4 linked regions of the Rhinolophus ferrumequinum genome follow. The protein of the gene in region 2 binds, or shares a complex with, the protein of the main gene of each other region. Links are inferred from orthologs where the notes say so. Each region holds a gene or a part of one and is shown on either strand. Other genes may lie near its edges.

The links.
Region 1: the proteins of NMT1 (region 2) and NCS1 are in contact, whole or in part, in a crystal structure (PDB 5O9S), measured with the Homo sapiens proteins. The link is inferred for Rhinolophus ferrumequinum from reciprocal best matches to the Homo sapiens genes NMT1 and NCS1. Residues at the interface, in NP_066565.1 of Homo sapiens: Tyr180, Val181, Glu182, Asp183, Asp184, Asp185, Met187, Phe188, Arg189, Phe190, Tyr192, Asn246, Thr282, Ala283, Gly284, Arg295, Tyr296, His298, Ser300, Lys310, Phe311, Ser312, Tyr401, Leu403, Ser405, Tyr420, Gly468, Ile469, Gly470, Asp471; in NP_055101.2 of Homo sapiens: Gly2, Lys3, Ser4, Asn5, Ser6, Lys7, Leu8, Lys9.
Region 3: the proteins of NMT1 (region 2) and HPCA are in contact, whole or in part, in a crystal structure (PDB 7OWM), measured with the Homo sapiens proteins. The link is inferred for Rhinolophus ferrumequinum from reciprocal best matches to the Homo sapiens genes NMT1 and HPCA. Residues at the interface, in NP_066565.1 of Homo sapiens: Tyr180, Val181, Glu182, Asp183, Asp184, Asp185, Met187, Phe188, Arg189, Phe190, Tyr192, Ile245, Asn246, Phe247, Thr282, Ala283, Gly284, Tyr296, His298, Ser300, Lys310, Phe311, Ser312, His313, Tyr401, Leu403, Ser405, Tyr420, Gly468, Ile469; in NP_002134.2 of Homo sapiens: Gly2, Lys3, Gln4, Asn5, Ser6, Lys7, Leu8, Arg9.
Region 4: the proteins of NMT1 (region 2) and AIFM3 are in contact, whole or in part, in a crystal structure (PDB 6SJZ), measured with the Homo sapiens proteins. The link is inferred for Rhinolophus ferrumequinum from reciprocal best matches to the Homo sapiens genes NMT1 and AIFM3. Residues at the interface, in NP_066565.1 of Homo sapiens: Tyr180, Val181, Glu182, Asp183, Asp184, Asp185, Phe188, Arg189, Phe190, Asn246, Thr282, Ala283, Gly284, Tyr296, His298, Phe311, Tyr401, Ser405, Ile469, Gly470, Asp471, Asn473, Leu474, Leu495, Gln496; in NP_001373743.1 of Homo sapiens: Gly2, Cys4, Phe5, Ser6, Lys7, Pro8.

Annotation. Positions count from the first base shown.
Region 1 is NC_046295.1:78,469,642-78,477,109, reverse strand, and holds the start of NCS1 (neuronal calcium sensor 1), read right to left. Parts: upstream 3,009-7,468; 5' UTR 2,893-3,008; coding exon 2,829-2,892; intron 1-2,828. UniProt on the Homo sapiens protein: Neuronal calcium sensor, regulator of G protein-coupled receptor phosphorylation in a calcium dependent manner. Directly regulates GRK1 (RHOK), but not GRK2 to GRK5. Can substitute for calmodulin. Stimulates PI4KB kinase activity.
Region 2 is NC_046304.1:39,890,497-39,897,875, forward strand, and holds the start of NMT1 (glycylpeptide N-tetradecanoyltransferase 1), read left to right. Parts: upstream 1-4,378; 5' UTR 4,379-4,423; coding exon 4,424-4,554; intron 4,555-7,379.
Region 3 is NC_046292.1:22,515,655-22,523,622, reverse strand, and holds the start of HPCA (neuron-specific calcium-binding protein hippocalcin), read right to left. Parts: upstream 3,016-7,968; 5' UTR 2,997-3,015; intron 2,466-2,996; exon of another isoform or gene 2,411-2,465; intron 670-2,410; 5' UTR 649-669; coding exon 271-648; intron 1-270. UniProt on the Homo sapiens protein: Calcium-binding protein that may play a role in the regulation of voltage-dependent calcium channels. May also play a role in cyclic-nucleotide-mediated signaling through the regulation of adenylate and guanylate cyclases.
Region 4 is NC_046308.1:23,362,720-23,370,053, reverse strand, and holds the start of AIFM3 (apoptosis-inducing factor 3), read right to left. Parts: upstream 3,003-7,334; 5' UTR 2,940-3,002; intron 2,701-2,939; exon of another isoform or gene 2,531-2,700; intron 939-2,530; 5' UTR 876-938; intron 370-875; 5' UTR 215-369; coding exon 184-214; intron 1-183. UniProt on the Homo sapiens protein: Induces apoptosis through a caspase dependent pathway. Reduces mitochondrial membrane potential.

The sequences.
Region 1 (7,468 bases), on a different chromosome or scaffold from region 2:
TGCTTCCTGACACACAGACCCCCAGGACAGTCTTTCCCAGGGAGCAGGAGGAGCACCACCAAGGGTGGTAGTCACACTGACTCAGGTGTGACCATCGGGATTCCCCTCTGGGCCCCACTCAGCGTTGTAGCCAGCTGTGCTGTGCCCAAGGTGGCCTCGGACACCAGGTGATGCTTATGTATGCCAGGGCCCCAGGACCAGCTGTGAGTCTTCAACTGGGGGTCCTGGGAATCTAGCTCTCCATGACAAACACTTGTCAAGGATCAAATTCTTGGGCCCAGCCTAGACCTAAAGAATCAGAAATCCGGGAGGGCCACCCAGCCCAGGCCTGCTGCTATTGAACAAGCCCTCCAGGAGATTCTGACATTTGGGAGTCCTTCCTAAGCGCTCCTCTCCTGACTCCACACACAGAGTCCCCTGAACAAAGAGCAGATGGCTCCACTCCCCATCAGAAGGAAGCCCATCTGGGGCCTTAGAACAAGCTGGAGGCTTTCTCTGTCTGCTCTTCCTGCTGGAAGACTTTTCATTCAACAAACCTGTGGACCTACTAAGTGCCAACACAGCCAAACAGACCAAGGCCTGTGCTGAGGGAGCCGGCATCAGAAAATGAACCCCCCACCACCTCCACCAGCCCACCCCAAATAAGGGCTCTAGGAAAAACAGCCACTATCTCCTTGATCAAAACTGTTCTATGTATCCAAAGGCATTTAAAAATAGTCCAGGCAGCCCAGCACCACCAGGCCAGTTCCTAACAGAGCCTTGTTGACTCAACTTCTCTCCAAGGTGACAGATCTGCCTGGAGAGAGGGGGCTGGACAAAATGCTGCCCCAGGTCCCTACCCATCCAGAATCCACCACCACGTCTTATAGCAGAAACCAGACAGGGACACACAGAAGAAAGGTCCCTCCTGACTTCTTGGCATGAGCACTGCGGTCTCTCAAGAGACATAACTTTGGAGATGGACAGACCTGAGTTCAAGTCCTAACACTGCCTAATGACTGGCTGTGGGCCCGTGGGAATGCCACTCACCTCTTTGAGCCTTAGTTTCTCATCTGTAAATGGGGAGAGGAACAGTGCCCACTATGCACAGGGCTGTTGCAAGGATTCAATGTGCTAACGATGCAAAGAGCTCAGCGTGTGACGTGCCCCATAAGCAGGAAACCTGACTTCATTCAGCTCACAGGTGGCTCCCCTGCTCCCCGTGATGGAGACAGGCCAGTGCAGCCTAAGGCCACATCTCATGGCAAAGTCCACGTGCCCTCTGCCTCCCAGGAGGTCCCGCCTGCAGGCTGTCAGCTGACAGCTATGGACCATATCTGGATGGAGCCTGAAGGCCCAGCAAATCTCACAAACCAGCAGCCAAACTGGGAAGGGCTACCCACCCACCTTGATAAGAGGGTCAGAGGAGCAAAGATGGAGTTCCTGGTCCTTGGAGCCTTCCCCCTTCAAGGAGCAGCTACTGGAAGATGAGCTCCTTGCTGCAGAATTCCACTGGAGAAGGGCCAGGACCTCTCGGCAGACTAGCCGCCCACTTAGGAAAGCCCCCTTTGTTCCAAGCACGTGGGGGCGAGGGACATGGAGCTGAAGCGTGGGCTTGGACAGACCTGCAAATGTGCCCAGAAGACCGATGGGGGAGGGAGCAGAGGTTGTGCAATGCACCACCAGAACCTGCCTCCCAAGCCTCCATCAACGCACAGGACTGGCAGTCAATCTGCTGCCTCCAGGGAGGGTGCAGAGGGGCTGGACCCACGCAGGTGCCCGGGTAGGGTTCTGAATTCCAACCCAAGCCCAGGGACACCTGCCCCTTTCCAAGTCAGACGTCCAGGCAGAAGTCCTACCAGGCTGGAAGCTGTCCACCCTGTCTCCCAAAAAGAAAGACCCGTGGGTCAGGACGTAGTGCCATTAACCCCTAACACGTCAGCGCATCTGCCAAGAGGCTGCATGCAGGGAAGGGAGAAGTCTGGTAAGGAGAAATTAGAGCTGCGAGGGACTGTAGAGTTGTGAAGTTGGGCAAGTGGAGAGATACACACTCGGACAGATTCAGAGAAGCCGGAAATGGACAGACCCACCGCTTTGGGGTGCCTCAGACGGTTAAATGCTGAGAGGGAGCAGATCACCCATGGCTGTATAAACCCATTTCCCAGTTTAGCAGATAGAGGTAGGAGGGGGGAGGTGAATTCAGGGCCAGAGGAGAATTCAGCCTGTAAATCCTGCAGCCAACAGGGTGCCCAGGACCCTTGGATGCAGCTGCTGCCACGAGCTCTCTGACAAGTCTCGCCACCCCCCACACACGGAGGCCAAGGAGGGGGCGACAGGCCAACCTCGCAGTACCGGCAGCGGCAGCAGCAGCAACGGCGGCGGCATCGTGATGCATGAATCACCCGCCCCGCCGCGCTCGTGCCAGTCGGCTCCGCGCAGCCAGAGCCACCTGGAAACCAGGCGCCCCCTGCCCGGACCACCGCCCCTGGCCCTTGCACACCCCTGCCCTTTCGGACAGCTCTGCAGAGAGGGGGCCTAGGGTGGGCTGGGGCTTTCCCTCCACGCCTGGGGGTGGCCCCGCAGACGCTGACAGGCGGCACACGTCCCGAGCGTGGGGGGCTGGGTGCCCTAGAACAATAGGGCCAGGTGTGGGGCTGAGGGTGCAACCCGGGCCTTCGGGGGGTGGGGGGGCCGGATCGAAGGCAGGACAGGGAATGACCCAGGGAGGGTTGCGGCGTTGAAGAGGGTGGGGAGTGGGCCCGCAGAGGGGACAAGGGGTTTGGGTGGAGAGACCACGCGTGGGGGAGGGGCGCGGGGGCGCGGGGAGGGGGTCCCAGGCGCGCACTCACAGTAGGTTTTCCTGGTCAGCTCCTCCACAACTTCGGGCTTCAACTTGCTGTTGGATTTCCCCATCCTCGGCAGCCGCGGGCCCCTGTCCCCGGGCCCGACCCCGGCGGGGCGCCCAGAGGGAACGGTTCGGCCGACGCGGGCCGGGGCGGCCGGGGCTGGGCGCACGGAGGCCGGCGGGCCGAGCGGGGCCGGGCCGGGCCGCGCCTTTGTCTGCGCCGGGCCCGCGCGGCCCGGGCGCGGAGCTCCGGCGCGGGGCGCTGCGCTGCCTGCGCGTCTGGCGGCGCCTCAACTGCCCTGGCCGCGGCGCGGGCCCGGGCGCGAGGGGCAGCCGCTGGGCAGGCCCGGCCGTCGGCCGCCGCCCTCTCCCGGCGCCGCGGCGCGAGCTGCGCTGGGTTGGGCGCCGACGCGGCCGCGGTGTTGCCCGGTCGTCCCTGGTTACTGGGCTCCGCGGCACATGCTCGCTGCTGCGCTCCCTGCGCCGCCGCCCCTGCGCTCCCCGCCTCCCGCCTCCCGCCTCCCGCCCGCACCCGCGCGCCAGGGGTGGACCCGGAGCCGCCACTCAGCGCCCGGCACCTCCTCCCGCCCCGCACCCGCCCCGCCCGGCCTGCGCCCGTGGATCCGCCGCCCCCTGAACACTGAGCTGGGGCGGCAGAGGGGCGCTCCCTTGCCTCACTGCGTCCCGGGGCGGGAGGGGGGGTCACGCTGCCATCCGCCTTGAATCGATCCCGGGCATTCCAGTTCCCCCCCTCCCCCCGCACCGCGGAGCAGGGCTGGGGAGGGCCCGGAAGACTGACGTGAATGAGGCCGAGTCTCTGCTCGGCGAATTTCATTCATTCGACACGGATTTGCTGGGCGCTGGGGCCACAGCTGTGCACAGGACAAGCGCGGCCCCAGCCCTTACGGGGTGGCGCGGGCGGGGACCGGCATTGCGGTGCAAGATGTCACATCTTATAGTGGGGGCACCTACCGCGGCCTGGGGGAAGGTTACCTCCAAGCCCAGGGGGACGGGGAGAGAGTGATTGGCAAAGTGATCAAGGCCCTGAAATCCTGGAGGAGGGAAGGACGCCTGAGCCCAGAGGGACAGCCCTCCTGGCCCAGGGGCTCCAGGGGCAGGGCATGTATGATCTGAGGCCAGAAAGAAGGGGAAGCCCTCTCCTCCACGGAGCTAGGCCTGTGGGATTTAAGGCGAGTGATGACAGGGTCAGCTCTGCCTTTTCTACTTCTCTGGCCTGCATGTGGAGGTCGCTTCCTGCAGGTGTTGGGCAGGAGTTAAGGCCAGGCCAGTGGACAGGACTCCACCTGGATGGACAGAGGCAAGAGGATGGGCGTGAGGCGAGGCTGCGAGGGAAAGACTCTTCCCGCCCTCCCCCATGTACAGTGTGCTCCCCCATGTACAATGTGAATGTGTTGCCACTTTTCCTATCCCGGGTTCAGCTTTATCGTTTTTTTTCCTTAGCAACTATCACAGAGAGAACGTGTTTTATGTATTGTGTTTCTGCTGTCTCCCCCACTAGACTACGAACCCCCAGAGCGCAGGATTCTTGTCTTATCTGTAGGTGTATCTCCAGCACCTAGAAGGCACCGGTAGCCGCTCTGCAAACCTCGCATGAGGAAGGCATGAGGGTGCTGGGCGCCTGGGGGTGGACAAAGCAGGGGAGGGTGAGGCGAGGATGAAGTGTGGGCAGGGTCTCTTTTTCTCTCCACTTTGGCAGTGTTCAGACCTCAGGATGGGAAGCACAGAGTAGCTGGGGAGACAGAGAAAGAAAGCCTGACTGGCCAGGCATGCTTCTCAGCCTCCAAATGCCCCATCCCCAAACACCTCCATTCCAGCTTTTCCCCTGAAGGCCTTGCCTGGGTCTGAGGGGCTCTGAATCGGCCAGACCAGCCTGAGCATCCCGCCTGGGAGGAGGGGGAACCAGCATGGGGACCAGGGCCTGGTCAGGACAGTGACAGTGGTAGCATTAAAGCCCCATAGAAATCCCAATGCTCCTGTATTTCTTGCCCACTGCCCATGTGCCAGGCACTGTGCTGGGTCCTGGGGACACTGCCATGACCCATGTCCACGTCCTCACAAACCACCCCTCCCCCGACGTGCCCCACAGGGGTCTCCAAACCACAGTGGTGACAAACGCCACAAGGGGAATGGCAAGGGTGCTGGGGGACTATGCACAGAAACATCTGTGGAAGAGGGGAGTCAGGGAGTTTCCTGGAAGCTTTGCAGATTCACTCTATCGTTCAGCAAATATTTATGAGCACCTACTATGTGCCAGGCCCCAGAGCATATAGGCAAAACCCGTGCTGTCATGGAGCTTACAATTTAGTGAGGGGAGAGCAACATAATAATAAAATCCATGAGTAAAATGCCAGAGGTGAAAACATAAAAGTAGGAAGGGAAGGGGGATGGGAAGTGCTGGAGTGGGAGGTGGTAGCTATTTAAGGGTAAGGGAAGACTCACTGAGAAGGTGATATTTGGACATGGACCTGAAGAAGGGGAAGCCTCCAGAAGGCTCACTCAGGGCCTCCTCTCCTGCCTCATCTCTTGGTTCCTCTAACAAGCAGTTGTCCCCCCACTATCTCCCACTTTCCCCACCCCGACCCCCGCACTCTGGGCTGATCTCACCCCCCCATTGTAGTGAATGCCTAGACCTTCAAAATCTTACACAGAAACCCCTCGCACACACACCCATGTGACCATTGAAATGTGGCCAGTCCCAGTGGAGGTGTGGTAAGCAAAAAACACACACCAGATTTCCAAGGATCATATAAAATAAAAGAATAAAAATAGCTCATTAATATTTTTAAAAATGTGATTATACATATTAAACTGATTTTTTGGATATAATGAATTAAATATACTATTAAAATTTATTTCACCTATTTCTTTTGTTTTAAAGTGCCTTACTACAAAATTTTAGGTTACACATGCGGCTCACATTATTTTTCTGTTGGATAGCACTGTCTTGGGTGAACTTTCAAGTCTCCATTTAAACATCACCTCCATGGAGCCTTCCTGGATCCCCCAGGTGAGCTCAAGTCCCAACACCTATACCTACCCACATGGCACCTGGTCCTTTTGCAGCACTTCATGTGATTGAAGGAGGCCTGTCCAAGGAAGTCCTTTTTGTTCCTGGGAGCTGGGTGGGAACAGGGATCCAGGTGAGGTGGGGAGGGCGTGGGGGAGGAGGAGGGGTCCCACTGAACCCCCAGCATGAAGCTCAATGCCCTGCGGCTCAGGTTGAGTCCTGGTCCTGTCACTTTGGGCACATCGCTTCCCATGTTCTCATGGGCGAGTGTTTATGAGGATCAAAACTACTCGCATAAGCACATGACAAAGAGTTCATATCTTTAACCTATTATGAACTTGCTAAGCTCATAAGAAAAAGATGATCCCTCAATAGAAAGTTGGGGAAAGCACCCGAATAGGTGACAAGAACAAGAGCAAATGCCAGCCGCTAGTCCACAGGAGAGACCTCCCTTACAAGTCATCAGAGAAGCACAAAATGAATTGGGGGGAAAAATTACAGTTAATGATCATACCCAGTGTTGGCAAAGGAGCGAGAAAATGGGCATCCAGACGCCGCCAGGCAAGGTGCAAGTTGGTACAACCTTTGTGAGGGACAGTTTGCCAATAAATATCCATATTTTCGGACTCAGCAATTCCACTTCTAGGAAATCAACCTAAGCCAACAATTAGAGATCTGTACAAATTTAAGCCTCGGTGATGTTACTGCAGCAGTATTTACAACAACAAAAATGGAAGCGACCTACATATCCAGAATGAGGGATTAGCCTATCAGACCATGGGATCCTGTATATTAAATTATAGCACAGCTGGAAATCTAGTCACATGGTATAGGTCTGCTTACAGCACAGGAAGCACAAAAAGCTTTCACAACCTACGGGATCATCCCAACTGTGTGAGGGAAAAACTCCGTGGGCGTCACTGTGTATTTTAATTAAGTAGTTTTTAATCATATTTTTTCTCCAAATTCAAAAGATTGTCGAAAGTATATAATCCAGTAGCGCCTGAGAAAAAACCAGTCTGTATGGTACACGTGTCCTGTGGGAAGAAGGATTCCCTGGTCAAATGCTTTTGGGGAATGTGGCATGCTATAACCAAGCTCTCCAAGAGTCACCTTGCACATTTGTATTTACTCAAAGGCTTTGAGAAGCCCTGCAAGAAAGAAATCGGTTTTATTTAAGTATTTTCCACATTTATTTGGCCATTGAACCTGTTTTTTTCCTTAACTCCAGTTAGCATTTGAAGAACCATCGTCCTGCGGAAGAAATATCCACAGGAACCCATTGGTGTCCAAGTCCCACTTCTCAGGGAGAAAGGATGTAGAGCAGCAAAGGCGGCATTTCGTCGAGGTAAGTGGGACACCCTGAAGCCTGCTGAGGGTTAAATGGACGGGGGTGAAGCGGCTCGCCTTTAGTAAGTATATTCACAGGGCAGGCAGTGCTGGAGAGAGCCCAGCTGTGACCAGCTCCTTCACTGTATCGGACGTCCCGTGGTGCCTGGCACACAGTGGGCACCGGATAACCACGCTGGGGTCAGCCCAGCTGATTTGCCCGGTGATCCCCACAACATGCTTCCGCAGGCTGCGAACGCCAGCCCATGCACGGGCAGTGGCTGCTG
Region 2 (7,379 bases):
AGCCAAGTTCAAAGTCTGCTTTCTCCAAGCCTTTTCTAACAATGCTGCCCCAAAAGCTTCATCCCTGCCCTGCCCCCAACTTCAGTTAACTTATCTACTGTATCTCGCTCATTTCATCATAGCCAGTCAGGCCCTGTTATTTTTTTTCAAGCGAGGCTGGTTTTTCCAATTTCACTGTAAGTACCTTCTGGGCAGGGAACGCCTACCACACTCTCTCTTAAATCCCGCCTCACCAAGCAGAAGGCTGGGCCCACTGTGCTGCAGGCTCATGTGTCAGGAGATGTCATAGGAAGGAAGGGTACCCTTCCTGAAAGTGAGCTCCAGGGGACAGGAAGCTGCCAAAGACCATCTCCCTATGCTTTAGTTCACGACTGAGCCCACCAGCCCTGTTCTTACTCAGAGGAGAAAAACTGTCTTCCCCAGGACAGTCAGTCTGCTCCCTAGAGTATGATCTTTCACCAGCAAAAATGCGATCCTCTCTCTCCCCAGCTAACAATCAGTAGCTCCTGAGTCTTCAGGATAAACCCCAAACACCCCATCATGGTCTGACTCCTGCCTCTCCAGCCTCAACTTCCAAAATGCTCCTCACACGCTAAGCCCAAGGCGCATCATCCTCATTGCAATACTTCAAAAGCACCCTACTCAGGCAGCTGGACTGTCGTACCTTCAGCTTAGGACGTCCACCCGTTTGTCTGCTTCCCCTATGAAAACTCAGCTCAGCCGTCTTTTCCTCCAGGACGCCTTTCTTCAGGTTGAGTCCCTCCTCTAGGCTCCTGCTACGTCCTGTGTTCCACCGCTCTCTCATGCATTGTTATGTAACTGTCAGTCTATGCACCCACCGACTCATGGAATGAACCCAGGACGGGGACGGTGTGGTTCTATCCCTGCTTTTCTAGTTCCTGTCAAAGAGCCTGACATGTCACTAGTGCTCCAGGGTGTTGAAAAATGAACCACAACCTGGCTCATGCCTTCCCAGGCCCATTAGAAGAAAAGGTATCTCTGACATGCTGCTGGGAGTACAGCAAGGGCCTTGATTTGTATAGACACCATGAGAAAGTTTTTGTCACAGTAGCAATGCTGACTTCCTGGGAAGGGAAATACAAATTTATTAGGTATTAACTGTCCCAGATACTTTACTAAGTGTTCTGTGTACACTGTCTCATTTTACAGAGAGGACACTGAGGCTCAGAGAGGAGAAGTGACTTGCCTAAGGCCACTCATTAGGTAAAAGCAGAGCCAGGATTTAGAACTCAGGGAGTCAGACTCTGAAGCATGTTCTCTTAACCACTATATTCTACTGTCCCCCGTAACCGCGAAGGGATAATGGCACTATGTACACTAGGAGCAAATTCCAGAACCTGTAGAACTTCACAGGCACATCTCTTGGTCACCCTCGGGGCCCTGCTGTACCCCACTACCTTCATATAACGCTCCTGCCAGAATGGGTGGGGAGGAAGAGCCAGCAGAGCTCGATGGGAGAATCCTACTATTCTAGTGTGATGAGGCGCTCAGAAAGCTGCAAATGTTTACCTTGGAAAAAATAAGAATTTTAGGGAACCATATATTAATTGTAGAATATGTAACAACCATCTAGAAGGACACAGGATTATGTTTCTACATGATCCCATAAGGCAGAACTTGGCCAACTTTCCACCAATGAGAGCTGTCGGAAAATGGAAGGCTGTCTCTTATGGGGGAGTGGGGAGGAGCAAATACAAGAACTCTTGGGTGGGCGGATGGCTCAGTTGGTTAGAGCACGAGCTCTGAACAACAGGGTTGCTGGTTCGATTCCCACATGGGCCCGTGAGCTGCGCCCTCCACAACTAGATTGAAGGACAACGACTTGGAGCTGATGGGCCCTGGAGAAACACACTGTTCCCCAATTAAAAAAAAACAAACAAACTTCTTGGAACCCCAAGAAAGCATCCATAGACCCAATTTAGGAAACTATATTGCACTGCTTTGGGTGATCATTCTGCATCAATGTGACTGTAAACTCAAAAGTAAACTTAGGCACTAAAATCACAAGCGCTTATTTAAAAAATGTGTCACATATACTCAATTTCTTTTTAAAACATAAAATTGCAATTTTATTAAAGAGAAATCATGGATCCTACAAAATCTAAGTGAGGATTCTAACTTGAAAACTCCTAATAGAGAGGGAATAAAAGCCTTTCAGGTCCTCTCTAACTCTGAGATTCTGAGGTGCTGGATTCCAGAACTTTGGGCTTGTACTTGTATTCTGAGCTTGGTTACTACAGTCATACAGCCTGCCTACTTCCCAGAAAAGGCTCTCCACTGAGCAAAAACTGCTCAGTTTGCTGTACAAAGCAAAGCAGATACTTAAGCTTTGAATTCCAAGAATGGCAGGGTCCATAGAAACCAGCACCTTCATTCCCTATAATTTCTTCCTTGTCATGTTTCATTAGCCTTCATTTAATCTCTGCATATCTGTGAGAAAAGAAAATATCGGGTTGGGAATTAGAATACCAGATGTGGGTTCTGGTTCTGCAACTAGGTATCACTGCGACTTTTTTTTTTTAATTCAATTTATTCGGGTGACAATGGTTAGTAAAATTACATAGGTTTCAAGTGTACAATTCTATAAAACATCATCTATATATCACATTGGGTGTTTATTTATTTATTTTGCAAGCACAATTTTCTTCAAGTCCCCTTCCCTATCTACTTCACAAGGTCACATGAGCTACAACAGGTGAAACACTTACAAAAGGTTTCACCTGCAGCTGCACATGAGACCTTGTGTTGACAGCAGTCTTGGCCCTGGAGACATGAGTGTAGGTGATGGCTCTTAGCCTGAGCTGGTGTCTCTGACTGCCTTCTAAAGTCAAGGATAAATGATTGGGGATTATTTGCTGATTTGGACATTTACTGCTGCTCTTGCCACTGATACAAAAAACGAAGAGTCGACTATATTTAGCTCTGTTCTATTTGTTTTGTTTGACTCAGTCAGATGGGGACTGTTTCTTACCGCACTGCGAGCTTCCCAAAGGCAAAGATCATTTCCCTTTTTGGCCAAGTTGCTCTCTGATGTTAAGAACTTGTCCTTCCCTCACCACCCACCACAACCCAACCAGAATGGGAAATCTCCCGGAATGGGAACCCTGTCTTTGGGCTCTCTCCTCAAAACTCAGATATGCTTGGGGTGGCCCATTGGCTCACTTGGTTAAGAGCGGGGTGCTGGTAGCACCAAGACTGCCAGTTTGATCCCTACATGAGCCTTCCTTAAAAACAAACAAACAAACAAACAAACACACAAGAAACCAACTCAGGTAGGATTACTCACTCACTGGGGTGAGACCCAAGGGATTGAAGCATTCAGTCGAGGCTAAAAAGAGACTAAGTGTTGCAATTACCTTCTAATAACTGATTTCCATGGGTATATGTAACAGACAATGGGACTTACGTAGCGCTAAAGAATTCAGAGGGCCTAAAAGCAGACAGATCCAGACTCGTATACTGACTTTGCCATTTATTAACTATGTGACTGTGCAATTTACCAACCAATCTGGGCCACATTTCTTCGTCTGTGAAAAACGGAAACAGCGCCCACGTTCCAGGCTTGTTGAGAGGATTAAATGAAAAATACGAAAAGCCTTACCACAGAGCCTGGTATATACATGCTCAATAATGAGTAACTGTGGAGGGCTGCTGTGGAGAATGAAAGGGAGAGTATGCGGAAGAGCTTCGTGGAGACCGGTACCGGAGGCCCCGAGCGTCAGGGCCTGACCGAGCAGTCAAGACTCCTGGCTCAGAATCAGTGCTCCGCACAGCACAATTCACCCCCTCTCGTGAGGCCTTGAATTACCAACCACCACGGGCCGCCCAGAGTTCCGAATGAGGAAAGGCGGCCAGTAGTCAACTGGGCTTTTTGAAGGAAAGCCTCTCAGCGAAGGCCCGACGCATTCAGGCTGCCGATGGGCAGCCCCACGGGCCTCAAGCCCTCTTACTTACCCAGGAGTGATAACGGTCCTTAACGGCAGCCAATAACGGCTCACCTGTGGCCCAAGCACTAGCAAGGGCAGGCTGAGGTCAAACCTTGGATTTTGGAGCCTCCACGCCCGAACCCTAAACTTGCATCGAACTACAATTCCCAGCATGCCACGCGGCCCGCCGGTCGCGGAGCGTCGGCCCCGCCAACTTTGGATCTCTCCTTTCCTCAAAGCGCGGCCGAATGCCCGGGACTTCCGAGTAATGCTGATCCCCCAACCTAGGACAGCCTCCCTTCATGATTTCTGGGTACTGTAGTGTACCTTGTTCCGGTTTCCCGGGAATGAGCCGCTCCTAGTTACGGCTCCCTTCGCCACAAAAACTACAAAACCCAGAATATAGCGCAAGTTCCCCTCGTCCAATAGGAACCCCCCATGTAGCGAGGCGTGGAGGCCGGCTCTCGCAACTCAAGATGGCGGACGAGAGTGAGACAGCAGTGAAGTCGCCGGCACCTCCGCGGCCGCAGATGATGGAAGGGAACGGAAACGGCCATGAGCACTGCAGCGATTGCGAGAACGAGGAGGACAACAGCTACAACCGGGGGTAACGAGATCCTCGGAGTCCAATTCCCTTCCAGTCCCCCACAACCTGGGTCTCTGGGGTGCGGGGAAGTCACCGGGAGCTTAGTGTAACCCCACCCCCATATTCTTATTGGCTGAGACGTTGGGATCCTGCCTGGCGATTGGTTGCTGTCTTTGTCATTTACCAGGGTGGGTGCTCATATATTAAGGATCGGAGACATTGAATACTTTTATTATATAAAAGTTCTGTGTAATGTTCCACTCATATGCTTACGGCGCGTCCGGGGAAAAGAGCCTGTTGGACGATAGTTTTCGATGGCACAACACGGGTCAATATAACACTACAGTTCAAAGGGAACGTTACTTATAGAGGTGTTGTGTGAACAACGTGACTAGCAATAAACGAATAATAAAACATTTCGCTGCAGTTCACCTTCAATGAGGAAATTCACCAGGCTATACAGACCATAATTATGTTGTAAAATGTCACTACCAGAGAATCTCAAAATATAAACTTACCTTATAAACCCTACGTAATTACTGTATAGTGTTTTGATGTAAGGTGTCCGTTGCTCCACATAATCCATAAGTTTCCTAAACAGTATATAATTCTTCCAGCATCTTTGTTAACTTTGCGAAGTAGCCTCAAGCTTCAAGAAATTGAGTAATGGTCTTTCTTGAATAGTGTACTTTAGGGTTTTTCCTGCTAGCAACTATCTGTTCCTTGGGCAGAAGAAATGCATCAGGCGTTTGTTTGAGTGTTGAGTTCTATTTCCACATCAGTTTTCACTCCTGTAAGCCACACCCTGTCATTCCTCTTTCTTCATTGTTACAGTGGCTGGTTCTGACACTCACTCTCCCTATCTATATATTTACAAATATGTTTTTAAACGGAAAGTCATGAGAGTCTTTTGGATGTATAACTTGCTGTGTCTGTGATCTGTCTGATTTTCATAGCCATCTTGTCATTTGCAGTATTGATGGTAGTCCTGGAGGTAAAGGTAGGAGGTAGAGGTCTTTGGATAAACTTTTAAAAAAATTCTGCTACCTTGCAGAGATGGGAGAATATAGGATTATTTAAATGATTTATAATTTGCCTGTGGTGAATCCTTAGGTTAAAAGATCTAGCTTTTATGTTCTACAGTCAGCAGTAAAAATGAGAAGAATGTAGAGGAAGAGGAAGCTTGTCAAATTTGGTTTTTATAAGACTATTCTATAGCTATTACTCACAATAGGTCTAATGTAATAAAAGCTTTGTTTTGAAGTTTGAGTGTCCTAAGAATGGAAGAGCTGAGAAAGAGAAAATAGGAACAGGAAGAAGGGAAAGTGCAGCCCTGAGTAGAGATCCCGTCACAGATGAGAGTTGTTGAATTAGAAGTCGTTTCAGAAGTGAAAGTACAGCTTCTTTGCTCTTTGTGTAGCTGCTTTTATTTTTCTCTGCCAAACTGTTGCCCTGACCAGTGTCTATAGCTCTTTAATTAGTTTGGTTCCCTATAATCTATGAATTATTTTGCAAAACTGCTTGGCAGAAAGTTCTGTGTTTTATTTATAGTACAGCAAAGTGGTAACCTAAAAAAAACTTTGAAGGTTTTTTTTTTTCTTTTTTTTTTTTGGTTGTTTTTGTGTATGATTATGGTCTGGGTGAACAAATTAAGTTCATTAGCATCCCAAATGTAGAGGTCTTTATAGTAAATGAGTTAGGAGGTGGCAGGTGAAAAGCAGAGGACCCAGCCTGGAGGACAGAACCTAGTTCTGGCATTTGGATTCTGAAGTAGAGTCAACATTTTTCCACTAAGTATCAGAGGAAACGGTTTGGGGAAGAAACTGTGTGGCACGGTGGGAAAAACATAGACTCTAGAGTCGTTCAATTCTGGGTTCAAAGTCTGGTGCTGATACTTAATAGTAAACTTAACCTCCAGTTGTGGGGATTAAATGAGATAACATCTGGAATTCAGTCTCCCCCCTTCCTTCTATTCTTTCTTCAAATCTCTGTCCTCCTTCCCCCAGCTTGCCTCCCTGCCCTTACACATACTGTACTTTCGTAGCTTTTTATCTTGACAGTAGTTAAATAACATGTGTCTAGCCCCTGCCTCACCTGAAGGTGTCTTAGAACAGGGTTCATGTCTTTGGGATTCCTGGCACTTAGTGTTAATGAATATTTGCTGGATGAATGAATGGCAAATGTTAAAGTCCTTAGCCCAGTGTTGGTAGAGTTTCATTTCTTCTCACTGAGGGGAAGATTTTCCTTATATATACACTTTCACTTTCTTTCCCCAAATAAGTGTCATTGTAGGCCTTGCTACACTTTTTATGAAATACCTGCAGAAATCAAGGATTCTCCAATTTACTGTGAAAGTTTTCCACTGTTTTTTGGCTTCCTGGAAATTTTCTTGTCTTATAATACCGGGGGTGCCAAAAAAAATGTACGAGTGTACACATTTTAAGAGATGTTAACACTTTTGGTCAACGTTGCTCAAGCAGTAGTTTGCGGTAATCAGAAGTGCCTGGAAGCTGATGGTAACCACTTTGAGCACCTCTTATAATTGCAGAAGTCAAACGTGACTTGTATTCATCTTTTGTTATAGGTATATATTAACACAGTTTTTTCCTTTCTTAATATGTGTATACATTTTTTTGGCACCCTCTATATTTAAAATGTTTTCAAAAGTGATATACGAATTGAAGGGGAATAGTTTCTTTCGATGTTACTGATTCTAAAGTATAATATTTGCAATTAGATTATGATAATTCAAACTAACCCGTATTCTCTTAGGCTTTTCTTTCAGGATGCGCTCACAGTGCTTTACGCTAATGAAAGGAGCTACATTCGTGCACTGGAATCATAGG
Region 3 (7,968 bases), on a different chromosome or scaffold from region 2:
GTTCAGAACAACAAAACATTACAAACACGCATACACACACACATAATGATAAAGCAAATGTGGTCAAATGTTAATTGATGAATCTGGGTAAAGGGTATATGAGAGTTTACTTAACTTTTCTTTAAATTGGAAATTATTTCCTAATAAAGAGGCTGTAAGAATAGCACCTGCCACTACCTACCCACAAGGGCTGTCGAGAGGATAAAAAGGGATGGTGGGTGCAAGCTGCTGGGCCCTGTGCCTGGCACTCTGAGGGGCCCAGGGGCCCACCTGCACAATCTCGAGCATCTCCTCACGGCTGATGTAGCCATTGCCGTCCAGGTCATACATGCTGAAGGCCCACATGAGCTTCTGCTCCAGGCGGCCACGCGAGGTCACACTCAGTGCAATGATGAACTCCCGGAAGTCGATTGTGCCATCGCTGTTGGTGTCGAAGGTGCGGAAGACGTGTTCAGCGAACTTGGAGGCGTCACCGTAGGGGAAGAAGTTGGCGTAGATCTTCTTGAACTCATCCACATTGAGGATGCCGGTGGGGCAGTCCTTGAGGAAGCCCTTGTACCACTCCTGCAGCTCCAGCTCTGAGAACTCTGTATTCTCCCGGAGGTCCTGCAGCATCTCCGGCCGCAGCTTGCTGTTCTGCTTGCCCATGGCCACCGAGCCAAGTCCCACCTATGTCCCCAAGGGGGTCAAGGAATGGAGAGGAGAGATCAGGCCCTCCTGGTCCCTTGACACCACTCCAGGTGGGCCCCCAGACACCAGCCACCCCAAGGTCACGCAGCCTGCACCCAGGCATCCTGCCTTTGTGATGTGCTCCACACCATTTTCCCAGACCTTACACTTCCCCAGGGAACAGGCCTGGAGACAGAGGAAGAGAAGAGGGTTCACATTTACTGAAGCCCTTCTCAGGGCAGCCGCTGAGCCTTCACAGGTGTGTATCCTTTCACCATCACAAAGTGAAGCCTGGGGATTAGACCCATTTTACAGAGGAGAAGGCAGGATCAAGGAATTGAGGTGAGCTAGTTCAGGTCCTACAGCCATGGAATGGCCGGGCTGACTTCCAGAGTTGCCCAGGGAGGTGCAGAAAAGCCTCCTCCTCCTCCTTCCTACCCACTGTCCCCTCATTGTCTCCCATATGCCTGCTCACCACAAAATACACCTGCAGCCCAGACACTGGCCTGTTCACCCACACACTTGTGCCTGGCATAGGGTGGCATAAGGTAAGTGTTAGCCTGGGCTCCCGAGCCAGACCACCTGGGTTTAAATCCCAGCTCTGCCCTTATCAGCTATGTGACCTTGGGCAAGTTCCTTAAACTCTCTCTGCCTCATCTGTAAAGTGGGAGTAATAGTACCTACCTCGTTGTTGTGAGGATTAAATTAGTTAATACATGTGAAGCATTTAGAACAATTCCTGCACATATAAATACTACATAAGTGTTAAATGTGATTTACATGTACCAGATGCTACAAAACTCATGCACAACACACATGAATACATACACATATGCTACACAACTCACCAAATCCACACACTGGGTCCCATGCCACACACATACCAGCCCACACCCATCCATGGGTCACCTCCACACACAACATTCCCTCTGTTCCACATCTCACATGTACTGACACTCAGCACCACGCAGGCACAACACCCATACCCTGTGCATCAAGACACACCAACCCACGATCCCACATGTCTCAAACATGCCACCACAAACCAACTCCCATGTTGACACCTCTCACATGGCCAGCTGCACATGGGACCGTCGGGCACCCTTGCCATCTTTCTCTTCCCAGGGGTGCCGTTAGGTCCCAGGAAAGGGAGTTTTGATGCTTCTCAGACTTACAATGGACCCCTTTTCCAGAGAGACTCATAGCCTGCCAACCCTCCGCCAACACTTACCTTTCATCTAGTCCAGAAAGGTCCCCTCAGTGCAGGAGCTTAGAGTGAGGAGGACCGAGGGGATGGCAAAGGAGAGGAGACAGCCAGGCAGTTCTGGGCAGGGATGTGGGAGTGTGTGCAGGTGAATCGCCCCCCAACTTGGGACTGTGAGATGATGAGGGGGGTTCCTTTTGTGTGCATTTGCACAAAGCTCTGTGCACATGTAGATGAGCGTGTGTGTGAGTGCATGTGCTCATGCATGCCTGTGTGTCCCTGGGTTCTGCACTGCATTTATCTCCCCATGTGTTTCCATATCTGTGCATGTACATGTCTGTGCCTGTGACTAGGTATGCACCTATGACGGTGTGGGGGGGATGTGTCTGTGTGGCCATTTGGGGGTCTGTGTGTGTCCTTAGCAGTGTGTCACATGCGTGTGTCTGTAAATTGGTCACCCTCCTTTCTAAATCAGCCTCTTCTGCCCCCGGATGAGGACACATTGAACAAGTGTGTGGGAGGAGACTGAGGAAATACCTGGGGCTGGGGCGGCGGACAGTGTCCCTTAATCCTCTCCTGAAGGTCCAAGCAACTGGGTCATCAGGGCGAGGGCAGAGAGATGCGTTGAGCAAGAGAGGTCTTAGAATGCTCCCTCTTCCCTGCCACCCAGAGTTGCCCCTCCCAGTTGGAAGACTTGGAAACGAGGGTGGTAAAACATTCTGTTGTCTCGCAAAGACCCCCCGTTCCCAAAATGGGAGGGACCCATAGCTCGACCTGAGAAACCTGCCCCGGGGACCCTCTCTGAACCTCTCTCCCCATCTTTCGCCCTGAGCCCCCGCCTCAATCCTTTCAGCACTCGGAGAGCACCCGGCGTGTGGCCCCTCCTGGAGGGGGCGCTCCGAGGCGGCTGTAACGAGACTCCTCCCGGCTGGTCACTCAGCGGTCAGGACCCTGGAGAGCTCCACGCGATAACCCTGAGGAGCCCCCACTCCCTGAGCACCCGGAGAGAGGGTTCCCGGGAGACGAGGCAGCGGCGGGGCTGGGGAGCCCTGGACGTGGCTCCCTCCCTCGGGGTTGCCCCCTCCCCGCATTCCCCAGCCCGGCCAAAGCGGCCCCCACTCACCCAGCGACGTGGAGCCACCGACTGCGCAGGGAAGGCGGCGCTGCTGCGGCGCGCGGCAGCGGAGACGGGCCTGAAGGGCGGGCGGGGGGCGGGGAGAGGGACTGCGAGGGAGACGCCCCGCGGCGTTCGCCCGGAGTCCCTCCCTTGGGGGGGGTCCCCGTTCCTCCCTCACTCCTCCAGCCCTGGGGGCGGGGGGAGCGACGGACTAGGCTCCGCCCCCGCCCTTTTCCAGGGGAGGGAAAGGGACGCCTTCACTTCCCGGCCCCCCTCACGAGGGAGCACATGCCGGGGGAGGAGGCCCGAGGTCCCCATATCCTCAGCATGTCCACTAAGGTAGTTTGAATGGGGTGGCGGGGGGTCAGTGCCCAGAGACTCTTTCTTAAGCTGGGACTACCCCCGGACGCTCCACCACCTTCCTCCCCTACCCATACTTGGGTGCGAAGCCGCACGTTGCCCGGCGAGCGGAATCCAGATCCTGGCGGTTCAAGTGTGCCCTCCCTACCCACCCCCAGCGCCTCAACTACGGAACTGAGCTGGGGGGTCTTCTGGGAGGGGGCAGCGCTCTCTCCTCCAGGCGCGCCCCCACCCCACCTCCACCTTAGAGAGCCCACCCTCCATCTCCGGCCCGCCACTCCGGATCTCATTCCCGGGACCCCTCCCAATGAATCCCACTTCCCAACATTGATCTAAACTGCTCCTCCCACTCCCCTCCCCCAATCAAGGAAACCCCTCCTTTCCTCCCCAGCCCTCTGCCAGTGAGGGCTGGGGAGCGTCTATCTCCAGCTAGGGGGGGTCCTGAGGTGGGCTGGTCCCCTGCTTGCAGACTGGACAGCCCCTTTCTAGAGTTACCCACCCCTATCAGCTCCTCCTGCCAGAACGGGGGTTGCACTCCCCTTCCCCCAGCTTCAGCAACAATCTCCACATCTTGGGCTCAAATTTTGTCCTTTCTCTAAGAGGTGGTCCTTACTGTCCCCACTTCACAGATGAGGAAACAGGTTCAGAGGAGTTAAATGATTTTTTCCGTTGTTTCACAGCTAAAGAATGGAAGGCTTGGATCTGAATCCATGTGCCCTCATCCATTCATTTCACACATATTTATCAGGCACTAGTTCTGTGCCCAGCAAGTCTTAGCAGTGGGGTTAAAGGGGTGGACAGTAAACAAGTCAGTTCTACAATGTAATAGGTAAGTGTTTGGGAAAAAGTTGAGATCCGTGTGAAGAGGCTGGGATGGTGGCAGTGCTTAGAATCATGCCAAGGACTTTCCATTTTATTCCAGGTGAGATGGGAAGCTCTTGGGGCTTTGAGCAGAGTGAGAGAGTCTGACATCCAGGTCACGCTTACTAGGGCATTCTGTCAAGAACAGACTTCGAGGAGTGGGGGCCAAGGCGGGAGCAGGGAGAAAACTCAGGGTGATAGATGACCAAGGTGGCAGAGAGGGGTCTGGTTTCTGGAGCTATTATACTTTGAAGGTCAGCTGACAGCATTTGTCTTCTGACTGGACAGCTCCTCCCAAATCATGGCAGCCACCTCCAGGTTCCCAGATCAAGCCTTAGTACCTCTGCTTGAGGGCAAATGGGAAGGGGAGTTCTCAACTGGAGGAGTTGGGCAGCCAGGCTGTGAGGGACTGGGAAGGCAGCTGGGCCCTCCAGAGCCAGTTCCTCTATGTACCTTGGCTCTGGGGTTGGGACCGCCAGGTGGAGAGACCTAGACATTTGTGGGTGGTTCCCAGCTGCTTCCTGCATGAGGACCTGGGGGTGGGGAGAGAATTGCTGCTCAGCCCTCCCCCCAGGCCTCCTGAATGACAAGCTCTCTCCACTCTCCCCACCTGGCCTGGAGGGTCTGCTGTGCTTGAGGCAGAGAGAGGAGGCCTCCTCCCTCTCCTCCTTCCTCTCCCGCCTGTCTGATTCTGAATCTTCACAGCCTGCTCTGGCTCCTACTCTCCATCTTTGTGGGTCTCAATTTACCCTCGCGGGGGCTGCTGAGCCACTCTCTCTGCTTCCTCCCACTTCCCTGACCCAGCTTCACCTCCTCGAGGCTGACTCCTTGGCTCAGGAGCCTACTTCTCTTAGCCCCACTGTTTTTTTTCTCTGTGTGGGTGACTCTGATGCCCTGCCTTCAGGACCCCCAGTCTGCATCCTGTCTCTCCAATAGATGGGGCTTCTGAAGGTGGGACCATGTCTTCTCATTACGCTGGGTACCCCACCTCCCTTTGACTTTCCTTGCACCTCGAATGAGTAGGATGGATCTGGAAGTAGAGTTTGGGCCCTGGTAGGCTTGGCTGGTTACTTCCCATCAGCCACCTCTCCCCTCCCAGGGGACTAAGAAGCAATGGGAGGCCCCCCTGAGCAAAAGGGGAAGGCTGGGAGTTCCCCATATTGCACGCCAAGGCCCTTGGCCCAAGACCTCATGTCTTGAGATATAGCCCAGAAAGGGGGGCAGAGGGGCAGCTGTCAGGAGGCCTGGGTCCCTCACTTCTAGATAACTTGGAGTAAGTCTCTTCATCTTTCTGACCAGAAAGGTTAGACAGATGACCTTGGTGCCTTGACATCCCCCCAGATCAGAGTACTGACATGACAGGCCTCATTTACTGCCTCACTGGCCCCCTCTGGCCTGAAATTCTAGACATGAGCAGACACAAGATGAGGCCCCAGTGGCCCTGGAACCCTGCACCCTGTTGACTTGCTTTCTATGAAGGCCCTTTGCAGAGTGGGGTGGAGGTGTCCTTGCGGATGATACTCAGCCCCCTTCCACCTCAGACTGAGGCCTCTAGGAGAGAGAAGAGATACATCTTAGGGTAAATGTAAAAGGTGGTTGTTGAAGGAACTGAGCAGTAGCCAGGGTCCATGGGAGAGGGAAGAGAGGGCAAGTCCCAAGGAAGGGGATGTCCTCAACATGTGAGGAGTGACGTGAGGGGTGGCTACCCCCGTCTAGCAATAAAAAGGGACAGACCAGCTCCCAGGATGTCAGAGAGAGAAGCAAGTGGGGGATGAGTGGAGAGGGGACCACATAGCTCTTGAGTACCTACTGTGTACAGAGTGCTTTGCATGTGTCATCTCACTTGGTCTGCACTAAACCTGAGGAGTCAATAATGTTACTTCCATTTTACAGATGTGGAGACTGAGGCTTCAGAGAAGTGAAGTCACCAGCCTAAGGTAATACATAAAGAGACAGTGTCAGGCTCTGAACCCAGTTCTGTCTGACTCAGGAGCCCAGGCCCCTCCCTAGAAGCCTCTCAATATGGTAAGTGGAGGTAGCCCCTCCCCACTTCCCTAAGAGGCCCAGCCCCCACCCTCCCTCTTTGGTCCCAAATGGTTTGGAAAATCCTGATGGGAGCAGATGGTGGGGACAGATGGAGGGAAAAGCATCTCGAGGCTGAATTACACAAACAAACATTGATAAAGTGATTAAAACCTCAAGCCACCCCTTTCCAAAGGGCCCTGCCTACCCTAATGTGGAGCACAGAGATGGGAGCCGGGGGGTCTCCTGATGCCCAGGATCTTAGCCTGAACAATACCAGCTTCTGCCCGTCCCCCTCACCGCCAGGGACCACCCCCGGACCAGAGCCCAAGGTGGCAGAGCTGCCAGGAGCACAGCCTAGGCCTGGCTGTTCCCAAAGAAGCTGGGCCAGGAGGAACAGAACCGCGATGGGGGCTGGGAAAGTCCTGGAAGCTGGAACTGCAGACCTGAAGTCAGCGGTTGAGAGGGGGTTTGTGGCGGGGATGGGTCCCTTACTCTATAGATGATGCTCAGTATAGATGATACTGTGTGACCTGCCATGCCTGTCCAGGTCACACAGTAGCCTTGCCGCTCTCACCGAGGGGTGCGAACCCTGACCCACCACCCACCCCCACAGTGGAGAGGGGCAAGGCCCTGGAAGCTTCGATTGCTTCCTTCCACTGTAAAATGGAAAGGATAATAATAGTACCCCATCCCAACAAGGGTCATTGTGAGGATTAAGTGACAGAAAACCTGTAAAGTGTGGGCACTGGGCCTGACACAGTCTCTGCCCAATAAATGTGGGTTCCAAGCAGCTAATAGAGAATCCCTTGTGTTGGAGGATCGGGAAGGCTAACGCTGGTTAGAGATGGTCCCTCTACAAAGCAGAAACTTGGACTTGAAGATGCTGGTTGCAGAGCCCTAGTGGCTGCCGGGCTCTGCGGCAGAGGGATGGCTACAATGTCCCGAAGAAGAGCACTGATCCCCAAGAAGGTAGCTGATCTCTCTGCCAAGCCCAGAACCTGGGATCCCACAGGAGAAAGAAAGGGCCTGCATCTTTGCTGGTCCCTTGATATGAAAGTACAGACTTCATAGGGTTACGGACCCTGGGGACCCTGGGAAGATCCTGGGGTGACCCCTTCCCAGTTTGGGAATGTTAGCCAAAACAGCCCCTCCGATCCTGTGGCTCCTTTTCGGTAAACCCCACATTTCCAGCTGCTCCCTGGACTTGCTCCCAGAAGCCCCCAAACACCTTGGACTCAAGCCGGACAATATCCAACTCATCGCCTTCCACCCCAGGCTGTCCTGCCCTCCATCCACCAAACAAGCCTGAGGCTCCACCCCGTCAGGGACCCCTCAATCCTCCTTACCCCCACACCTGCTTCCTTCCCAAGTCAGCCCTTTTTACCAGAGTATGTCTCTCAGGCCTACCCTCTCCTCTTCCTGTCACCTCCCCTGCCCCACTGATGACCCTGTATTAGAGATCTGATCCTCTCACAGCTCTCCCTGCCTTCAGTTTCTTTAAATACAGTCCCCTTCCTTCATGCTTAATAACCTTCCATGGCTCCCCACTGCCCATCAGAATAAGCGAACATTCGAGGCTCCCCAGGCCCCAACCCTCACTTCCTACCTCAGCTCTTACCCTTCACCTTCCTTTAAACTCCCCACCAGTCCAGCCCTTCCTCTACCAGATGGCCAGGATCTCCCCTATACTGAAAGAAGGGATCTGGAGTCAAGGCTGGGGAACGGGGGCTCC
Region 4 (7,334 bases), on a different chromosome or scaffold from region 2:
GTGGGAGTCCCTGGAAGGGGGCCCGAAGACTCCAGGCCCCTCACCCCCTCCTGCCTGCCTCGCATTAACATTCGGAGCCGGCAGCCGCCCAGCCTGACCTACTTTGGAGGCAGCGGGGGAGGGGGAGGAGGAAGGTGACAGGAGGAGGGAGGGGGGAGGAGGTAGCAAAAAGAGAGGAGTTACCTGGCTTAGGTTTGGAGAAGCAGCCGCCCATGGCGAGTGGCCCTCGGATGGGCAGGAGGCAGGCGCACAGATGGTGGGCTATGGGAGGTTAGGGTGCCCCCGGTGGGGCTCGACCCCCCACAGCCCTTAGAAATGCTGGAGCTTCCATCACCATCCCAGCTGGAGCTACCTTCAGGACCTGCAGGCCTGCGGTGAGGGGACAGGGGGGTGTCGATAGGGCCTAGGGCTTAGATAGGTTATATGGGTAGAGACACAGAGAGAGACACAAATGGTGGGGGAGCTTCTGGAAGAGGCCCACATTGGAGCTGGCGATTGTTGCATGTAGGGGACCAGATCCCAGAGAAACACCTTCATTTTAAGGCCCTCCGTGCTCAGCACCCTCACTGCCCCCTCCCACCTTTGCCAAAGGAGCCCCTCTGTTCCAACTTAGCCAGACTTTTAGGTCCAACCCCACCGCTGCCTTGTCCAGCAAATCTTCCCTGCTTTCTGCTGCCCCCTCAGCATCCCACAGCCTGGGAGCCCTGGGACACTCCTTTCTCCGGGGAGCCCACCAGGCCTGGGGTCAAAGCCCAGGCCCATTTGGGCAGATCAGAACCCTCCTGGACCTCGGGTTTCTCTTCACTACGATGGAGTGACATTTAGTTGTCCCTGGCCCCAGCACCCACCCTGGCCAGTAGCCCCTCTACACATACCTCTTCCATGGGCAGCCACTGCTTCTTGTTCCCAGCCCAACAGTGGATGCAGGCTGCCTGGCCCTGAAAGGCAGGGCAAGGGGGCAGGGGTCCAGGAGGCAGCCTTCACCCCTCCTCCCAGTGTGAGCTGCCACCAGGAGGGGCTGGAAGGGGCGGGGCTGGGTCAGTCCACTGGTCCCCAGGGAAACCCAGCTCCATGGTGAACAGAAGTGGGCAGCCAGCCCAGGCCTGATGGGGTTGGGCGGGAAAGGGAGGCCACAGTCCGGCCACAGGCCATGCCCGGCAGCCATGAGCTCTCACCCCCCACCCTCACTCTTCACAAGCCCGTGGTGCTGAGGTCATGCCCTGCATCAAATGGAGAAACTGAGGAGCCAAGGGCTTACCAAGGTCACGCAGCAGGTAGGGGTATCTGGGTGGCCTCCTACTCCCTTTCCTACTTAGTTCAAAGAAGGGTAGGGACCCAAGAAGCCCCGATATCACCCTGCAAGCCACTGGGCTGGGGGAGGGGTCACTAGGTCAGCAGAGATCCCTGTAGCCAAGGAGCCCTCAAAGCCACAGGATGGACCTTCCGGAAGATGCAGCTTATAGACTGGACTTCGGGAGGCCCAGGACAAAAGTGTACCTGCCCTGTTTACGACTGTCCATCCCACTCTCATCTCCTTTGTTTCCCTTGAAAGTTCTTCCTGAAGTCTAACTCCAGTGGGGCTGAGGCTTACTGGGTCTATCCCAGATCCCAGCAAGGGCCCTGGGTAGGTGCCTCAGAGCAAGGGGGCCAAGAAGACAGGACGAAAAGGTTGGGGAAGGACCACCTACTGCCTGGCACCTGATCTTACCTGCTCTAGAGGTGCCCATTACAGGCCAAGAGGCTGTGGCACCCAAAGGCCACCTGCCTGTACACCCATGCTCTCTGCCCCAGTTGTCGCCAAGGCAGATTGGTAAAATGTGGCCACCACCCACCCCTCATGCCCTCTCCCTGGGCACAAGGGGGCCCCTCCCCAGATCTGGCTTCACCTCTGGCTCAGCCCTGACTACTTCCTTCCTGCCTGGCATCAGGCCTCACCTGCTGGACCACAGATCCCAGAAAAGGTGGGACTTGCCACCAGGTGCCTGTCTAGGCTGTTCCCTCCCTTTCCAGGTGCCCAGGTATCTGGAAACTCCAGGGCCTTGGGCCTGGAAACAGATTTGCTGGGGATGGAACCTTCTCCAGGCCTACTGTGTGCTAGGCAGGTTTGGTGCCCTCCTGCCTCCTGCAGGCCCAGATACCCCCACTCAAAGGCAAAAGTCCTTGCCAGGGGCATGGCAGGAGGGGACCCCATGTTTTGGCAGAATGCTGTCCATTGCCCACCAGCTGCCCAATGGCCAAAAAGTTGTAACTGCCTGTGTGCTAACTATCCATCAGGAGCCTGTGTCCTGTCCAAGACCTCCCCACCCAGAGCCCCAGCTGGCGGAGGCTGGGGAGAGAAGCCTCTCCGGACTTCTCTGCACAGCCCCTCTCTCCCCCTAGTCCCACTCTTCACCAAGGATCTGATGGGCCCTTCCTACACCAACCCTGGGGGCTCCTGACCAGCGCAGGCCGTCAGTGGCTTTCAGCCCTTCTTGGATGGCATCCAAGCTCCTCAGACAGGCACTGGAGTTGGGGAGCAGGCGGTCCTCACCTCCTCCCCTACAGGGCTTAGGCGCAAACCTCCGGTGCACTCTCCCTGCCTTTGCACGTGCTGTTCCTCTATCTGAGATGCCCTTTCAAGTAGTCTCCACAGATCGTCCAGGTCCCCCCACCAGACCGGGTGGCCCAGGAAGGGGGAATGACACACAACACACAGTAGGGCCACGCGGCGGCGAGCCGGGGAGGACCCTGAAGGGGAGGGGAGAAGGAAGAGTGGCGCTTCTGCCCTGGCTTGTCTCTCTTTCCTCGGCTGCAGACCCCCAGCCTCCAGAGCGCCCGCCCGGGTTCCGAGACCCGCGAGGGCGCGCGCTAGCTCGGAGTGCGGAGGCTGCGGGATAGGGACCCGGGGACCGAATCGGGTGGCGGGTTCGGGGTCCCGGGAGCTGGGGGCGGGCGCTCACCTGGGTTGGACGCAGGCGTCCGCTCTGGAGCCGCTACGGGGCCGCGGCCGCGGGGCGGGGGGGGAACGGGGGGGGCGGAAGGAGCGGGCGGGGGCGGGGCTGGCGCTGCGGCGACACTGCGGCCAGGGAGCCCGCGCGCGCAGCCCCGCCCCGCCGGGCCGTGAAGGTGGGGGCTCCAGGGTCAGGGGTCAGCCGGCGGTCTCTGAGTCCCCACGCGGGTCTCGAGGTGTGAGGAGGCAGCCGGGGGCTCTCGCGGCTCTTGACGCCCCGGCGGAGTCTGGGATCCCGGAGATCCTCGCGACCCTCCGAGGCGCCAAGCTGGGGCGCGCAACGGGTCTGATTCTTTTTCCTTTTCTTTCTTTAGTAAGTCTTCGAACCATCCGTGGGCGGCGTGGGGGAAGTTAAGTCACCTGAGAAGCCTCTCCAAGAAAGAAAACCCAAATCACTCCCGCCTGCCCCCTAGATACCTTGACCCGCTTTGGGGATTCAGTCTTCCAGGTCTCCTAGCTCCCTCCCTCCCCTGTCCCCAAACACAATTTGCTCTATTTTAAATGTTATTTTATTACATTTTCTCTTTCCCACCTGTCATTATACCAGGAGAACTTCCTGGGTCCCCATAAATCCTGGTGCATCCTGGCGTTCTGTCCCCTCCTCCAGGAAGCCCTCCTTGACCAGCCTCCCCAGACTCCATCAGGACCTGATATTCTGACTCTTGGACCTCTTGTGTTTCATTTTCCTGACTATCCAGATCTTTGCGTAGTGGTTTTGTCCCTCCAGATCTTTGCGTAGTGGTTTTGTCCCTCCAGCCAACTGGAATTCTGACTATGGGGGAAATGAATGAATGATACATTCCGGGGAAGGGATGTCACATCTACCACTCACTACACACATCAGGGCCCACCAACTCTGTTGTCCTTTTATTGCTCTTTTCTGGTGGCTCGAGTTTTTGTTGCCTCTCTACTTTCTGTGCCTTGCTCTTCTCCTGTAGGGATGACAGTAACAACAGCAGTAACAGTCCCAGGTGCCAGGCTGCTCCAGTCTTCAGAGAGAGTCCTTTATTTATGCCCCACCTCACCCCGGGGGGCCACCACAACTCCCCTCTCATTTTACAGATAGGGAAGCTCATAGGCTAAGTCTCACCCAGGGGCAGGACCAGGACCTGCATGGGTCACACTCACGCAGGTAGGTGTGGGGTCTAGGGCTGGAGGGAGACAGTCACTCTGATCAGGCCAGCCCTCTATGGTTTTCACAGTGTGATTGTTGCCACTGTCATAGGAGAGGCCCATCACTGGGCAAATGGCATTGCTTGGATCTGGTTCCGTTGGCCTACAACCAGCCTGCCCCCATTCCAGACACATGCTGACTGCACCCCCATCTCACTCCACTCCCCATCCCCCAGCCAGGAAGACAGTGTGTGTACCCCATAACCACGGCTGTGGCTTCATGTGCATTTATTCATTTAATCTTCATAACAGCCTGAGGAGGAAGGTTCTCTTTGTATCATCTCCATTTACAGATGGGGAAACCAAGGTTCAGAGAGGTTAGGGATGCCCCAAGGCCACACAGCCGGTGAGTTTCAGAGCATAGATTTGAATCCTGGCAGGTTGGCTAGTCTGTCCTGGGCTTACCTGCCAGGCTCTGCCAAGGCCTCAGGCTCTCCAGCGCAGAGTTGGAGTTTTGCTCTGTGACCCATTCAATGAATGAACCCCTCTGCCCCAGGTTGCCCAGGAAACATGGGGGTAAATGTAATGGCCACTGGCTGGGGCTGCCTCCAGGACACCATGACAAGGTGCTCAGGTTGTGGTGTAAGGGCTGCTGAGTTTGGGGTGTCAGAGATGAGACTGGGGGACAAGGCAGCATGGAGGCTAAGGAGGCCAACAACTGGGGAGATTCCCTGACATGGGGTGAGTGCAGCCCTGACATGTGGGGAGTCTGCCGTGGTGCCCTTTGCCCTGGGGATTGGGCTCAAAGCTCTGGCTGCCCCATGGTGGGGCAGAAATTTTGCTCATAGAGGATGTAGGCTAGGATGCTGCCTTGTGGAGGGCCCCCAGACTGTTGGTACATGTGGACAAGGGGATCCCAGGACACTCAGGAGGCCTCTGAACCTTGGGCAATCTGAGATACTGATCTTGCCCCAAGAAAAATTCTGGTAAAGTGATAGGTCCATCCCAGTGGCTTTGATAATACCCAATGGGGCAACAGCAAAGAGGGAAATCAAACTCCAGGTTGAGATGTAGTGAGGTGAACTAGGGCAGCTGAGAGTTCCCTGGACCAGCAGACACCCCAAAGGCAGAGGGGATTGCCGAGGTTTGAGAAGCATGTGTGATGGTGACCCCTGCCCCACCCCCAGCCCTGGAGCACTCCCAGTATGCTGCAAGCCTGTCCTCGCCCTCTTTACATCTACCTTCTCCTTAAGTTTCCCCTGTTCCCCCTCCCCTCAGCCTGGTTCTCCAAGCCGGTGTGCAGGATAGTCCTTTTCCAGGTCAGAAAGTGCGATAGCTGCAATGTCTAACGTTGGCATTGACACTGGTGCCCCCTGGAGGCCAGTCTGAGGGTCAGCAGGGCCCTCCTTGAGCTTTGGAGTTCTGAGGGAAGGGGTTGAAAGAGGAGGGACGAAACCTCTGGATTTAGATGGATTTCCTAATGGGGAGATGTTTTGACTGACAGATCCCCAGGAAATGTTGGGGAGCTGATACAGCACAGGCAACATCTGAGTTGAGGCCAGCTGTGTTGAGGGGCAAGATGGGTGGAAGTGGTTCCCAGAGCTAAACGGTGATTTATTTATATGGAAGCAGAGGTTTGGGGATCCTCAGGTTGGGGAGCCCAGGTCAAACCCCCGCTCTCGGACTCATCCCTGACTCCCGAGCTTGATCTGACTACTGTAGTTCAGCCTTTCCCCTGCCCAGGTTGGTCTACACATCCTGACCATCATGTACCCAGCACACTCTGGGTTTTCCGGGGCTCTCCGACACTAGGGAGGCCAGCTCCATCTCCTCTAAACCTCTGCAGTCTAACCTGGACCCTCCCCAGGTTGCTGGCTGGCTGCCAGTACTGTCCTGTTTTCAGGCTCTGGGGTGACCAGTCCGAATTCCAGTCCACATGGAGGAAGGGAAAGGTCATGAGGGCTTTACCAGAAGGTGGCAGGAGCTGAGGACAGACAGGCACGTAGGAGAGAACGGAGAGAACGGAATCCAGATAGAAGGAACATGTGGGCAAAGGCAAGGAGGTTATGTGTCAAATTCTGGGGAATTCAGAATGTGCCGGTCCATCCTGGCCTGAGTGCTGGGTTCTGGGCGGGGGCGTGGCATGAAAGTGTCACAGGCCAGGGAGGAGCTGGGTCATGGGCTTTCATTACATGTGTCTTTAGGAAAACAAGCAAACATGCCAACAACTAGGACTGGCATTGGACTGGAAAGGGGTAGGGAGCCAGGAGGTCAGGAGACAGCTGGGGTGAGGAACGGGCCAGAGTCAGCCCAAGGGCTGGAAGGTGGGCCCAGCCCCTGCAGTCTTTTCTTAGACCTGAGGATTTTCCATCATCAAGACTGGCAACAGGGCAGACAGATGGCTCAGTTGGTTAGAGCGCGAGCTCTGAACAATAGGGTTGCTGGTTTGATTCCCACATGGGCCAGTGAGCTGCGCCCTCCACAGCCAGATTGAAGACAATGAGCTGCTGCTGAGCTTCCAGAGGGGCAGCCGGATGGCTCAGTTTGTTAGAGTACAACCTCTGAACAACACGGTTGCCGGTTCAATTCCCGCATGGGATGGTGGGCTGTACCCCCTTGCAACTAAAGATTGAAAACGGCAACTGGACTTGGAGCTGAGCTGCACCCTCCACAACTAGATTGAAGGGCAATAACTTGGAGCTGATGGGCCCTGGAGAAACACACTTTTCCCCAATAAATATTTTTTTAAAAAGAGAGACTGGCAACAACTTCCCCAGCCCCCGTGACAGCAACTTCCCCACCCCTAGTGACAGATCAGCTAGTATAAACTGCTTCAGCCACAGAGTGGAATATTGTTCAACAATAAAAAGCTGTCTACAGAAGGTTTGCAAAGACATTATAGATATTTTCGTACACGGTGCTTCTTGAAAGTGTAAACTGAGGCAATCCTTACAGAGGGCAATTAGGCAACAGCTCTCAAAATTGCAAATGTCCAGAGCCTTTGACCCAGCAATCCCACTCAGAGGAACTCATTTTAATGTGTGTGTGGGGGGAGGGGAGGAAGAACCACCTGTGATTGGAAAGGAGTCCATCCATAGAGGAACATAAATGAGTGACAATACATCCATCTCGTAGAATACTATATACAGTGACGAAAAAGGAACAAATACTCAATATGCTGACTTGGAACACTCTAAAATAGATTGGGGGAATAAAGCAAGATGCAGAATAG